Danio rerio: one gene and its partners. The protein of the gene in region 1 interacts with the protein of each later gene in a pairwise test. Links are inferred from orthologs where the notes say so. Each region holds a gene or a part of one and is shown in the gene's direction. Other genes may lie near its edges. The genes, in order: tnpo2a, exoc5 and camk2d2.

Region 1 (4,184 bases):
TATTTTTTAATGAGCCTGTGCCTATAATGCCTATTGGTCAATCCTGCCCTGCATACCAGCAAGTTCAAAAAATTTCAACATTGTTATGGGAGCTAGCAATCGTCTCCCTCCTAAAAAAGTGTATCTTTCTTATCCGACAAAGACGTTTATAGGTCAATTTTGTTTTTCTAATTAAAAAAAAATAATTAGATTTGTTTTTTATTGAAAAAGTTGTTATATTGTCCCCTGTAATCTCTTATTGGATTAATATATTTTGACATTTGAGATGGGGAAAAATATGGTCTTTGCAACAAAAATAATTCTTCACTAGCAAGGTCAAAGTGTCTTAAATTAATCAACAAGTTTTATCATATTTTATCCAATTTTTGAAAAAGTTTCATTCTAAAATTGATGTAAAATGTTCATTTTAGCAATTTCATACTGAAATAGTTTTTTATTTAATTTGGAATTGTAATTATGCTGTACAATTTTGGAAACACATTAGCTCTTTTATTTATGATAATTTACAGCAAGATGTTTCTGTTACTTTTAAAGAAATTATTTTTGGTTATTATAAATCTGCCTGTATTAATGTTTGTTTTGTTATACATTTTATTTATTTTCTTTGTAAATTCCATATCCACAAATGCAAATTTACTAATGCCAAACCATATTTTCCCGTTTTTTTTTTTGCAGGAATTTTGTTAAAAATTACATTAAATTTCATTATCTAAAAAAAACAGCCAACAAAACTGTTTCATTTTGTAATCACTTTAAGTTATGTACTGTAATTGATTCTTAAATGTCTTACCCTCAAGTTTATATCATGTTCTTTATTTTCTTTCTTTCTCTCTTGTATCTTTTTCATGGATAGTGTAATTCATATTCTGTATTTTAAACATATATTGCTACAAACTTCTCAACTTTTTTTGCAAACACACACACACACACACACACACACACACACACACACACACACACACACACACACACACACACACACACACACACATATACCAAACATTTGGTTTGGTAAACCAAAATGAATTAGATTTTTTATGTCTATTTATTTATCTACTGTTTTTGCAGGTTTCGTCCTCCATACAAAAGAGTATAGAATCAATTTTTATCTAATCTAGTGACTCTAAGCTCTTTGTTCATAAAAAAGAGTCCCTCTCAGATTCGTGTATTTTTGAAACTGCCGACATGTCGTCACTTCCTCGTGGCGGCGGTCGTGCTGCGGAAGTGTTTGAAAGTGCCATTGCGCGAGACTAGCGCGAGCTGATAAGTAGGCCTCCACACGCGGCATGTGTAAGTGAACTCTTCTGAATTAAAAAAAATACTATATTTAAATATAAACGTGCAGTTTGTCTTAATAATGTCGCGTGGCATGGATTAAAACAAGTATAAACGCTAGTTCGCGGCCAACGCTTCACTTGTTGTGTGTGTACAATGATGTTTATGTAGGATTAACGTTAGCGATAGACGGCCGTTACTTGTTGCTTTAGGTTTCGAAGTTTCGCCTCATGTTTTTGTTTCTGTAACAAGTGTGTGATAAGTGTTTTACGCGTTTATAATGCTTTAACGTCGTGACCGATTGTTTTTGAGTTGCTCTCATGCATATGGTGAAAGACTAGGCCTCGGCATGATATGCACTCCTGACCATGTGCATTGCTTGATTGTTTCATGCTTTTATGCCTTCATCAACTGAATAACAATTGATAATTAAGTCCGACAAAGGCTAACAATTATAACCACAGGCTTTGTCATGTTAATTTCGGTTATTGTATCGAATCGCTGGAGATGCGTGTAACGTTATTTCTGTTAGCTCTTAATCACAAACAAAGAATCGGGTCAGTTATAAGTATGTATGTAATGTTTTAAGTATGTAACGTAACGTTACCAGATGTAACTCACAGATACGTTAATATCAGTTTCTGTGAAAGATTGAGACTATTAAACGCTTATTTTGGGCTAATCAAGGTACAGTCATTTTGAAATAAGTGTTGTGAGTAAAAGTATGTTTAAAGACGGATATATGAAATGTACAGAAGTATTATTAAATGGATAACTTTATTTTTAGTAATGTTATCCCTATATAATATACATAAAGTGAAAGTAGACTGAAAAACAAAATGCCTGAAATTGAAAGTAAAGTATCTGGAAACTATTCAAACTTTAAAAAACTGGCTTCCAGTGCATTTAATTTAATTGTGTAAACTTTTTATTGTATTAAAACAGTTGGTCAACTTAATCATGCCGTTTTCATCTTTTTGGTTTCAACTTTCATTGTTTAAATCATAATAAGTTAAGTGCAATCACTGCTTTAATCTAAACACTGATGTGCAGGACATGTAAAAGGCTATGGTTATGCGTAGTAGTCATTGTTTAATGACCCAACACTTTGAAACCAATTCACTTGCATACAAACTTTAAAAATAATTCTTTCAATTACTTTGTTGCTATCTTTTTAATCCATCCCTATATACATACATACATACATACATACATACATACATGCATATACACACACACACACACACACACACACAAAACATAAAAGTGTGTACTGAAAATGTCTGAAATTGTAGGTAAGGTATCTGGAAACTATTTGAAACTAAAAAAATAAAACTTGTTTGCAGTGTATTTAACTAAATTGTGTATCTGAAATACTTTTTTATTCTTTTAAAAAATATTTAGTTGATTAATCATGCCGTTTTGATCTTTTTGGTTTCAGCCGTCATTGTTTAAATCAAATAAATAGTTATATACTGCTAAATATATAAACTAAATATTAATCTAAACAGATTTGCCATACAATGAAAAGGCCATGTTTATGAGTACACTGTTAAACCCTGGAGTCAGCTTTATCAAATTAAATGAGTGTAGTTAATTTAAAATAGACTTAAAGTTAATTCTACTCATTTGTAATGAGATTTGAACTCAAGGTTGAAGGTAATAAGTTAATACACCTCATTATTTCAACTTAAATGAAGTTCACAGTACTCTTAAAGATTAGTTATCTCGAATAGTTTGTAGCAATCGGTTTCCTCAAACGGTTTGAGTTGCCTTAACTTATTGGGTTGTACAGATCTCGGTTAGTTTGAGTTCTCCATTTATTGGGTTTTACTGTGCTCAAATTGCTTCATTTACTCAAATGGATTACGTTCACAGTACTCATTAGGATTAGTTTTTTAACTTAAACCATTTGAGGAAATAGTGTAGTAGTCAGTGTTTTATGACCAAACACTTTTAACTAATTCACCTACATACAAACTTAAAATAATTCTTTCAATTGCTTTGTTGTTCTTTTTTTGTTAGTCACTCGGGATGTAAGCACACTGCATAAATGTAAATTATTTGTTAGTCCATCTTTTCTGCAAAAAAGAATACAGTTTCAGTAAGTAATCTGCAAGATGATAGATGCGGTTTACAAAGGTTTGGCAATGGATTCATAAGAGGAAGTAAATTGTGAAGGCATGAGGAATGTAATTGTTTGTGGTTTGTGTGCAGGATGGAGTGGCAGCCGGATGAACAAGGCCTCCAGCAGGTCCTGCAGCTCCTCAGAGACTCTCAGTCTCCAAACACAGCCACGCAGAGAGCTGTGCAGCAGGTATCCACACAACACATCACAGAATTACCTGCTATTTACAGAAATCAAGTGTTTAAAGGGACAATATTGATATTCTCACATGTATTGGTATAATAAAGAAACTTGGTCTACCAGTGTTTAAATGCACTTAAAGGGATAGTTCACCCAAAAATGAACAAGCTGACAAAGCCGCCAAAACAGCCCTAACAGGAAAGCTGAAGGAGTGCAAAATCCCACCTTCGGATCTTAAGCCACTATTAAAAGGATATATTCTCAACAAATGGCAATCAGAATGGGATCAGTGCCCAGAAAATAAACTTTTTGAAATTCAACCTGAAATAGGAAAAAAATCTAATTTATTTTTTAAGTCAAGACACGATGAGATTGTGTATAGAAGAGGCACACAAGACTCACACATGAATTTACTCAAAGGAGAAGAACCACCAAAATGCCTTTATTGCAACAGAAACCAAACAGTTAAACATATTCTTGTGGAATGCCCCATTTTTAATATCATCAGAAAACAAAATTTATCTGGAGAGACTTTAAAGGAAATATTTTTAAACGTGAATCCATCTAAAGTTGTAGAATTTTTATCAAAAGGAAATCTTAA
Region 2 (3,656 bases), on another chromosome or scaffold:
TGTATTGAGGTGTAGGGGAAAGTGAAAGGGCTAAAGGTAAATGTGTCTGTACATGTACACTGTATAACCTCCACTTTCTTGTGATTCAAAGGTAGCCTTCCAGCACTTCCAGGAGTTGGATGAGCATATCAGCTATGTGGCTACTAAGGTGTGCCATCTGGGAGATCAGCTAGAAGGAGTCAATACCCCGAGACAGAGGGCAGTGGAGGCTCAGAGACTTATGACATACTTTAACGAGTTCCTGGATGGAGAGCTGCGCAGTGATGTATTCAACAATCCTGAAAAGGTCAGATTCAGACAGACTGCCTAGTTTTACTATATCAAACAAGAAACACATTCAAAAAAACCTTTTTTGTTAAAAAAAAAGTGTTGCAGTCAGTTTAATTTCAAAAACGGGGGCAAGGACACAATGTTAAACATTCTATTCTGTACTAACTATTTGCATGATTAAGGTTAAAATCTTTAAATGAAACTCTGTATATCATGAATATATATTTACAGAGACCTCTGATGTATTGATTAAGAGATTGAAGATAATGTGTCATATTGCTAATGCTTTACCTGATAGATTTGCTGACAGATGATGCTGACACCTATGTGCATACATATTTAACATTCAGCAAATTGTGAAAAAATGACTTGTTAGTGGCTGTTTAGCATGAATGTTTGTGATGGTGCATTTGAGGCCTGTTGTAGCATAATTTATGCATTATAATAATATATAATTGAAAACAACACTGCAACTATTGAATACTTTTAGAAAGAGTTTACAATTGACTAGGTATGATCTGCCTTAAGCCTCATTCAAACTACCAGCAACATGCAGTGAAAAAGCAGCTACCATTCATTTCAGTGGACAGCTAGTGACTCCTGGCGATCTCCAGCTGCATACGCTATAGCATCTGTTGGCAACACAACGTTGAGAATCTCTTAATTTTATGCAAATGAAGAGCGACTTTCTTGAGCAACAGCTAATACAGTAGGAGCAATCACTAGATCTGCAAATAAATAGGCGAAATTACAGAGCACCTGTTTTTTGCTCACATTTGTAATTGAACATTTTATGTAGTAATTCCATTCATATTTAGTGCTTTCCCATCCACAATTTTTATTTTTAGCATCAAGAAAACAGTGTTTATCACACAAACGTTACCCAAGCAGTTCCATTAGAAAGCCCACTAGCCACTTCAGTTTTGCCCCCAGTCAATAGGCACCTATGAAGTGTGAATGCAGCTTTACTAGTTCAGTAACCAACTATTTGTTATCAAGCACCTCGAGTAAACATTACATTATAGGCCAGATCCGGTTGAGTAACTGTGACTATGTATCCACAGGGTTCAGATATTTTGTGAAAGCAGGACTTTACCGGCAGCTGTCCAATGTGAAGTTGTAAAGGGTGCGACAGTTGCCGCCAAAGCTACTGAAATTTAGTTTGCAGCAGTGATATAATGGATGCCTTAGGCTAATATATGTGCCCTGCTTAGATGTTGATGTACGCCAACTTAATTGGAAATGCCACTTTATAAGTTAATCTCTCAAGTTACTCGGTAATGATGTGGCCAACCCTGGGTGGCAAGTCTTACATCTTCTGATGCTATTAGCACAAGGCCACCAACATGCTTCCAGAGAGCCATGTGGGAATATACCCGCCAGACTTTTCAATATTTCTCAAGACGCGCACGCCTCCAGAAGAGAAAAGAGGGGAAGTGAGAGGAGCTGCCGGTGAATAGCTGAGAGGGGGGAATGGAGGGAAGGGAAATGGAAGGAACGAAGGCTGGGTTAATCCCTGTGAAAGGGAGGGCCGGGCCCAGGCAGCGAGGAGACAAGCGCCGGTAAAACCCCCTACTGCTGGGAGACGGCTACATCACTTACATGGGATTTAGCTAATCTTAGCTGGGGGACAGATACTTAGAAAACCTCGGCGAGAAGAGTGGAAAAGGGATGGATCCACCTCACGGGAGCACAATAATGATGTTAGCTGAGGCAGGCAGGAAAAGGAGAGTGGGAACAGAGGATATGTGGACGGCAGGGCCTTTCGCATCACCTTTTTCTTCTCTTCGTCCATCTGGCTTGAAGGGAGAGGTTGGGGGGGATCTTGTCGGGGTTCTGTTTTGGCCTAGACCTCCTACCTGCCTATGGGGACAGATTATGGGAGGTGATTTACTGAGGGATTATCTATAGTCAATTCTTAATAGTCAAGAGTGAGCGTAAGGTGTTGGCTGGGCCGCGACTGACTGACAGGAGTTAAGGTTTGATGAGGTTCAGGTGTGCCAGGCTGAGCCGAACTCTTATCATCCTTGTAGTGGACGAGAAGGGTGAGGGACAGATTTACCGTAAGCTGATCGCCAGATTTAAGGGTGCTGCCTCTGGCTCCTGTTTATATTTTGAGATGTCTGTCCTGTAGTGACCATTTTCTGTCTCTCACCACAGTCTGTTCTCATCCTACACAGATAAAAGAAGCTGCAGACATCATTCAGAAGTTGCACCTGATCGCTCAGGAGCTGCCATTTGACAGGCAAGTCACCTGCAGATGGGCCTTATTGGAGGATTGGTGTGTTGTTAAAGTTATCACATAAGAAGTCATCAGTGACTGTCAACACATGTTTATGGCCAAAGTATAACTCAGTTTTTAATACACATGCTGATTAGCATATTTGTGCAGCTTTAAGCAATATTTATTTTTCAAAGTATACACTATATGGTTAGTGTATGTGCGTATGAAAGCACTAAAATATTGTTGGGTATTTATTGTTGCAGATTTCAGTATAATTTCAGTCTGTTTTAACTGTGAATCAATGGTCTGGGCTAGTGTTGCTACTGTATCTTCAGTAGCTTGTGAAAAAAGTGATGGAAAAAAATCAGTGTGTGTAAACTGAGCATGTAGAGTATAAAAATTGGGCTAAGTACAACAAAATTTATGTCATGCCATGCTCAACATCTGTGTTTCTCAACCACGTTTCTGGTGGACCACCATCACTGCATGTTTTGGATGTCTCCTTTGTCTGTCACACCCATTACACCTTTTCCAGTTTCGGCTAATGATGTGAATTAGGGGTGTTTAGTTTAGGAGACATTGAAAATGTGCAGAGCTGGTGGTCCTCTAGGAACATGGTTCAGAAACACTGCTCTACATTAATGCTATTGCATACATGTAAAGTTTTTCACTTGTAAATTCTGTGCAGTTAGCATTGTCACTTGCCAATGTCAAAATAGTTCCTATCAGTATTTTTTTACTTGATTTTTTTCTCTCTCCCTCTCTCTCTTCAAAAATTGTTTCCTGTAGTACCATTGCAAACAGAATTAATTAAGACTGCAATATCCCAGGATTAGTGTAAAAGTAAATTTAGAAGATTGGCAGGAGGATGATGCTAGATTACTTTCATTTAAAACACCGCAACTTGGTTTCTTTGACGAAATACCTAAAAAGTCATTCTATTGTCTTTGTGTTAAATTTTTTAATTTAAAATCTTTGAGATATTTTGTCGAAATTAGCACCACTCCAAATGGATGTTGGAGGTCATTATATAAAGTACCAATTGAAAAAAGAAGCGGAGATTTACAATGGCGGATATCTGATTGGGTATTGGCAACAAATCGTTATAAGAATCATTTAAATCCGGTACAAGGAGATGAATGTATATTTTGTGGCCTTTCAG
Region 3 (3,656 bases), on another chromosome or scaffold:
CCTCGGCTCAGTTGGCATTTCTGTGTGGAGTTTGCATGTTCTCCATGCCTTCGCGTGGGTTTCCTCCGGGTACTCCGGGTTCCCCCACAGTCCAAAGACATGTGGTACAGGTGAATTGGGTAGGCTAAATTGTCCATAGTGTGTGTGTGTGTGTATGTGGGGATGTTTCCCAGAGATGGGTTGCGGCTGGAAGGGCATCCGCTGCGTAAAAAAACTTGCTGGATAAGTTGGCGGTTCATTCCGCTGTCATTCCTTTTTTTAAAGTAAAATAATAAAATAAAATAAATAAAAATAAAAATAAAACAAAATATGTTAATGAAGCTCAGTGCCACCAGTAACACTGGCTTCTGTAGCCATTCTACTGCCTATATACTGTATGCTAACTTGTGTTGATGAATGATTAGTCGGAGAAGGTCTCTTTTTTATTTGCACAAAAGTATTTCTTGCATATACTGTCTTTGAAGTCAAATGAAAGGGAAGTTAAGATGTTCTTTTTCCCATGTCATGGCGTACATCTGATTAAAACGATCCTACAATGAGAAAAATTGGAAAATAATTGGATTGCTGGAAGATGGGTGTTGCTAACAAAATGAAGGATCAACAGATGGACGAAAGCAGGGCAGAAATAGGACACGCCCTGATAGCCCCGCCCTAAAGGCATTCCATGTGACCAGAAGTGAAAAAAAGTTGTTTCAAGGGGGAGAGATGGTTATGGTATTTGATAAAACATTATAAGGGCAAAATAATTTGTACAAAATAATGAATTGCACAGATGCAATGTTTTAGCAAACACTACTATGTACACATAAAAATAAGAAGAGTACATTTTGATTTCATGCCGACTGTAATGACCTAAAAAAACTATTGATTTCATCAGACTCATTTTAAAGCTGAATTTATTTGAAGTATTTGCTGTGAAGAAGTTTCCCCTCTGAATGTGGCCATAATAGGAGCTTTCTGGTTCTCACAGGTGTGATCCTCTACATTCTGCTGGTTGGATATCCGCCATTTTGGGATGAAGACCAGCATCGCCTCTATCAGCAGATCAAGGCTGGTGCCTATGATGTAAGACTGAAGTTGAAGATTTCTCCTGCAAAGTGTTCACACTATACAAGAAGACACTGTTAGAGCTACATATGCAGAATATGATGAGACTGTTGATAACCATTGGGCAACACTGATGATAACTTGATGATATCTTGGGTTCCACAGCATATATGTTCATACAAAATAATGAAACTATGCTCAATTGTGTTGTTTTATCTCCAAATGTAGTTTCCTTCTCCCGAGTGGGACACCGTGACCCCTGAAGCTAAAGATCTGATTAATAAGATGTTGACTATCAATCCCTCTAAACGTATCACAGCTGCTGAAGCCCTCAAACACCCCTGGATCTGCGTATGTTTTTTTAACACATAAACACACACTAGTAAACAAGCTTGTCTATACACAGTACAACAAAGGACTGTTTTAATCTTTACTAATGACTAATTTTTCTATCTTCTTTCTCTTCCTTCAGCAACGCTCCACTGTTGCCTCAATGATGCACAGACAGGAAACCGTGGAGTGCTTGAAGAAATTCAACGCCAGAAGGAAACTCAAGGTTAGTTTTTAACTGATCTTTTACAGTTTTCTACTTTTGACCAAGCTTTAGCTTTCTCCACACCTTCAGAGTTTACTTCGCAGAGCTTCACCATTGTGTGTGCACTTGCTTTTTCTCTAAATCCGAGTCACAGAGACTCTGTTTACACCAGGTATTAATATGCATTTTCATCAATGTAATTACAAGTGGATGAATCAAAGGCCTGCTTTCACAGACAGGGCTTAGGGTGCACTCACACTATGCTATCTGAACCGTGTCCTGGCTTGTTTCCCGGTTCGTTTGACAAGTGTGAGTGTTCTGAATCGGGACATGTCATGCATATGAGCATTCCTGCAAAAGTGATATAGTGCTTGATTAAATAGGAGACAGGGGTTTTGTCAAAATCACAGCGATCACAAATAATGCATTTGAATGCATGTTAATAAATATAAATGGATTGAAACAAGGCCAGGGTATTTGTGCTTTAAAAGTATTTCAGTACACTATTGTATTGCTTTTTGGCTAATTATACTTAAATTACATTTTGTAAGTATTTATGAAAAGTCATTATAAGAGGTTTCAAACTAGAAAAAGTATTTCATCTTGCAAATAAACAAAAAAGAGATGACACTCTGCTGTTGCTTCTGTGCTATTCTTTCTTTCACCTCTCTCCTGCTTCTTGTTTTTTCCCCTTTTCTTCCATTTCCAAAACTTTTTTTTTTTTGCAACTAGGGTGCAATTCTGACCACTCTCCTGGTCACAAGAAACTTCTCAGGTACGTCTGGCTCTGCAGAACTGTACGTTTGAATTCTACAGCTGCAATAAACTCCCTCCGTTTTTATTTTCCTGCACAAATACTGTAAATTTGATTCAAAATGCTATAGTTTTTTTCTCATATAACTTGCTTTGTGTTTAATTTGCTGTTTATTATTGATTTAATTTTTTGGAACAAGTCTGTTTTGAAGTGAGGTGGTACACTACCACTTTTCAGACATTTTATTTAACATTTCTTTCCTGTTTATCGTTGCTTTGTCTCTTTTTGGGGGGGTCCTGTGGGTCCCGTGAGGTAAGAGTCTAATTGGACATAAGAAGGGGATGTGTTTTTACTCTAACCAGTGAACTGGTTTGCTTGTTTGACACACTTCCCTGTTACTCTGAGATACTAATTACCCTTGTTTGCATGTTATCAAACAGATTACATTCATATCGTCAACTCACGTTTTGTGTACAATGTCTATAAAATAATTTTTAAACTAATACATTTGCATTAGTTTAAACTATATTAATGCCACAATAATCAAAAAGTACTTTATGAATGTAATCACAAAAATAATGTTAACTTACTGGAAGAATAAATGTTTACTGTCTTGCTAATGAAACAAGTATCTTGAATGCTTGCTCATTATCTGGTTACATGTTCATCTGGATATGTTTATGTGCATTTTGCAATGTTACTTTTACAAATCAGGTATAATAATTTAAGGGTGTAGAATTTACTAGCTCTAAGCAAAATACAGTTGTCAATATGTTATAGATAAGGTCATAACTGTATGGTTGTCTGCACTAAATTTGTGATGATCTGTATTCTAAAGCAACTCTTTCTTCGAGGACAAATGTGTTTAATTTATTTATATAGCACATTTCCAACTGCCAAAAGGCTGCACAAAGTGCTTTACAGAGAAAAAATAAACTGACGATATGGGCATAAAAACAGTAACAGCAATAGGCACATAAAAGGAAAAAACATAGAAAGTGTAACAATAAAAAGAGCAAAAAACTAATTGAAATTTTGCCTAATTATAAGATGCTACCACAGTTGACCACACTAAATAAGATTAAGAACAGGAACGTTTTGATCCCCCCACCCCCCTACTCCTGACGGGAAGGATTTTTGCTTCAAAAGACCTACAAAATAAATAAGTCTTTACTTTAGACTAAAAAATAAGCAGTGACAAAGCCTTTTTTAGTTCTAATGGCAGGGCTTTCCAGAGGCGAGGACCTGATATGGCAAAAGCACTTTTGCCCCTACTGTTGAGGTGGGCCTTTGGAACTTTTAATAAAAACTGATCAGCGG

What was found.
Region 2: the proteins of tnpo2a (region 1) and exoc5 interact in binary tests that used the Homo sapiens proteins (3 or more experiments, as listed by UniProt). The two-hybrid records come from large-scale screens. The link is inferred for Danio rerio from reciprocal best matches to the Homo sapiens genes TNPO2 and EXOC5.
Region 3: the proteins of tnpo2a (region 1) and camk2d2 interact in binary tests that used the Homo sapiens proteins (3 or more experiments, as listed by UniProt). The two-hybrid records come from large-scale screens. The link is inferred for Danio rerio from reciprocal best matches to the Homo sapiens genes TNPO2 and CAMK2D.

Annotation. Positions count from the first base shown.
Region 1 is NC_133178.1:17,588,146-17,592,329, forward strand, and holds the start of tnpo2a (transportin-2), read left to right. Parts: upstream 1-1,242; 5' UTR 1,243-1,290; intron 1,291-3,492; 5' UTR 3,493-3,493; coding exon 3,494-3,592; intron 3,593-4,184. UniProt on the Homo sapiens protein: Probably functions in nuclear protein import as nuclear transport receptor. Serves as receptor for nuclear localization signals (NLS) in cargo substrates.
Region 2 is NC_133192.1:49,414,182-49,417,837, reverse strand, and holds part of exoc5 (exocyst complex component 5), read left to right. Parts: intron 1-91; coding exon 92-286; intron 287-2,450; coding exon 2,451-2,515; intron 2,516-3,656. UniProt on the Homo sapiens protein: Component of the exocyst complex involved in the docking of exocytic vesicles with fusion sites on the plasma membrane.
Region 3 is NC_133176.1:15,576,034-15,579,689, reverse strand, and holds part of camk2d2 (calcium/calmodulin-dependent protein kinase type II delta 2 chain), read left to right. Parts: intron 1-970; coding exon 971-1,065; intron 1,066-1,275; coding exon 1,276-1,398; intron 1,399-1,519; coding exon 1,520-1,603; intron 1,604-2,314; coding exon 2,315-2,357; exon of another isoform or gene 2,358-2,648; intron 2,649-3,656. UniProt on the Homo sapiens protein: Calcium/calmodulin-dependent protein kinase involved in the regulation of Ca(2+) homeostatis and excitation-contraction coupling (ECC) in heart by targeting ion channels, transporters and accessory proteins involved in Ca(2+) influx into the myocyte, Ca(2+) release from the sarcoplasmic reticulum (SR), SR Ca(2+) uptake and Na(+) and K(+) channel transport.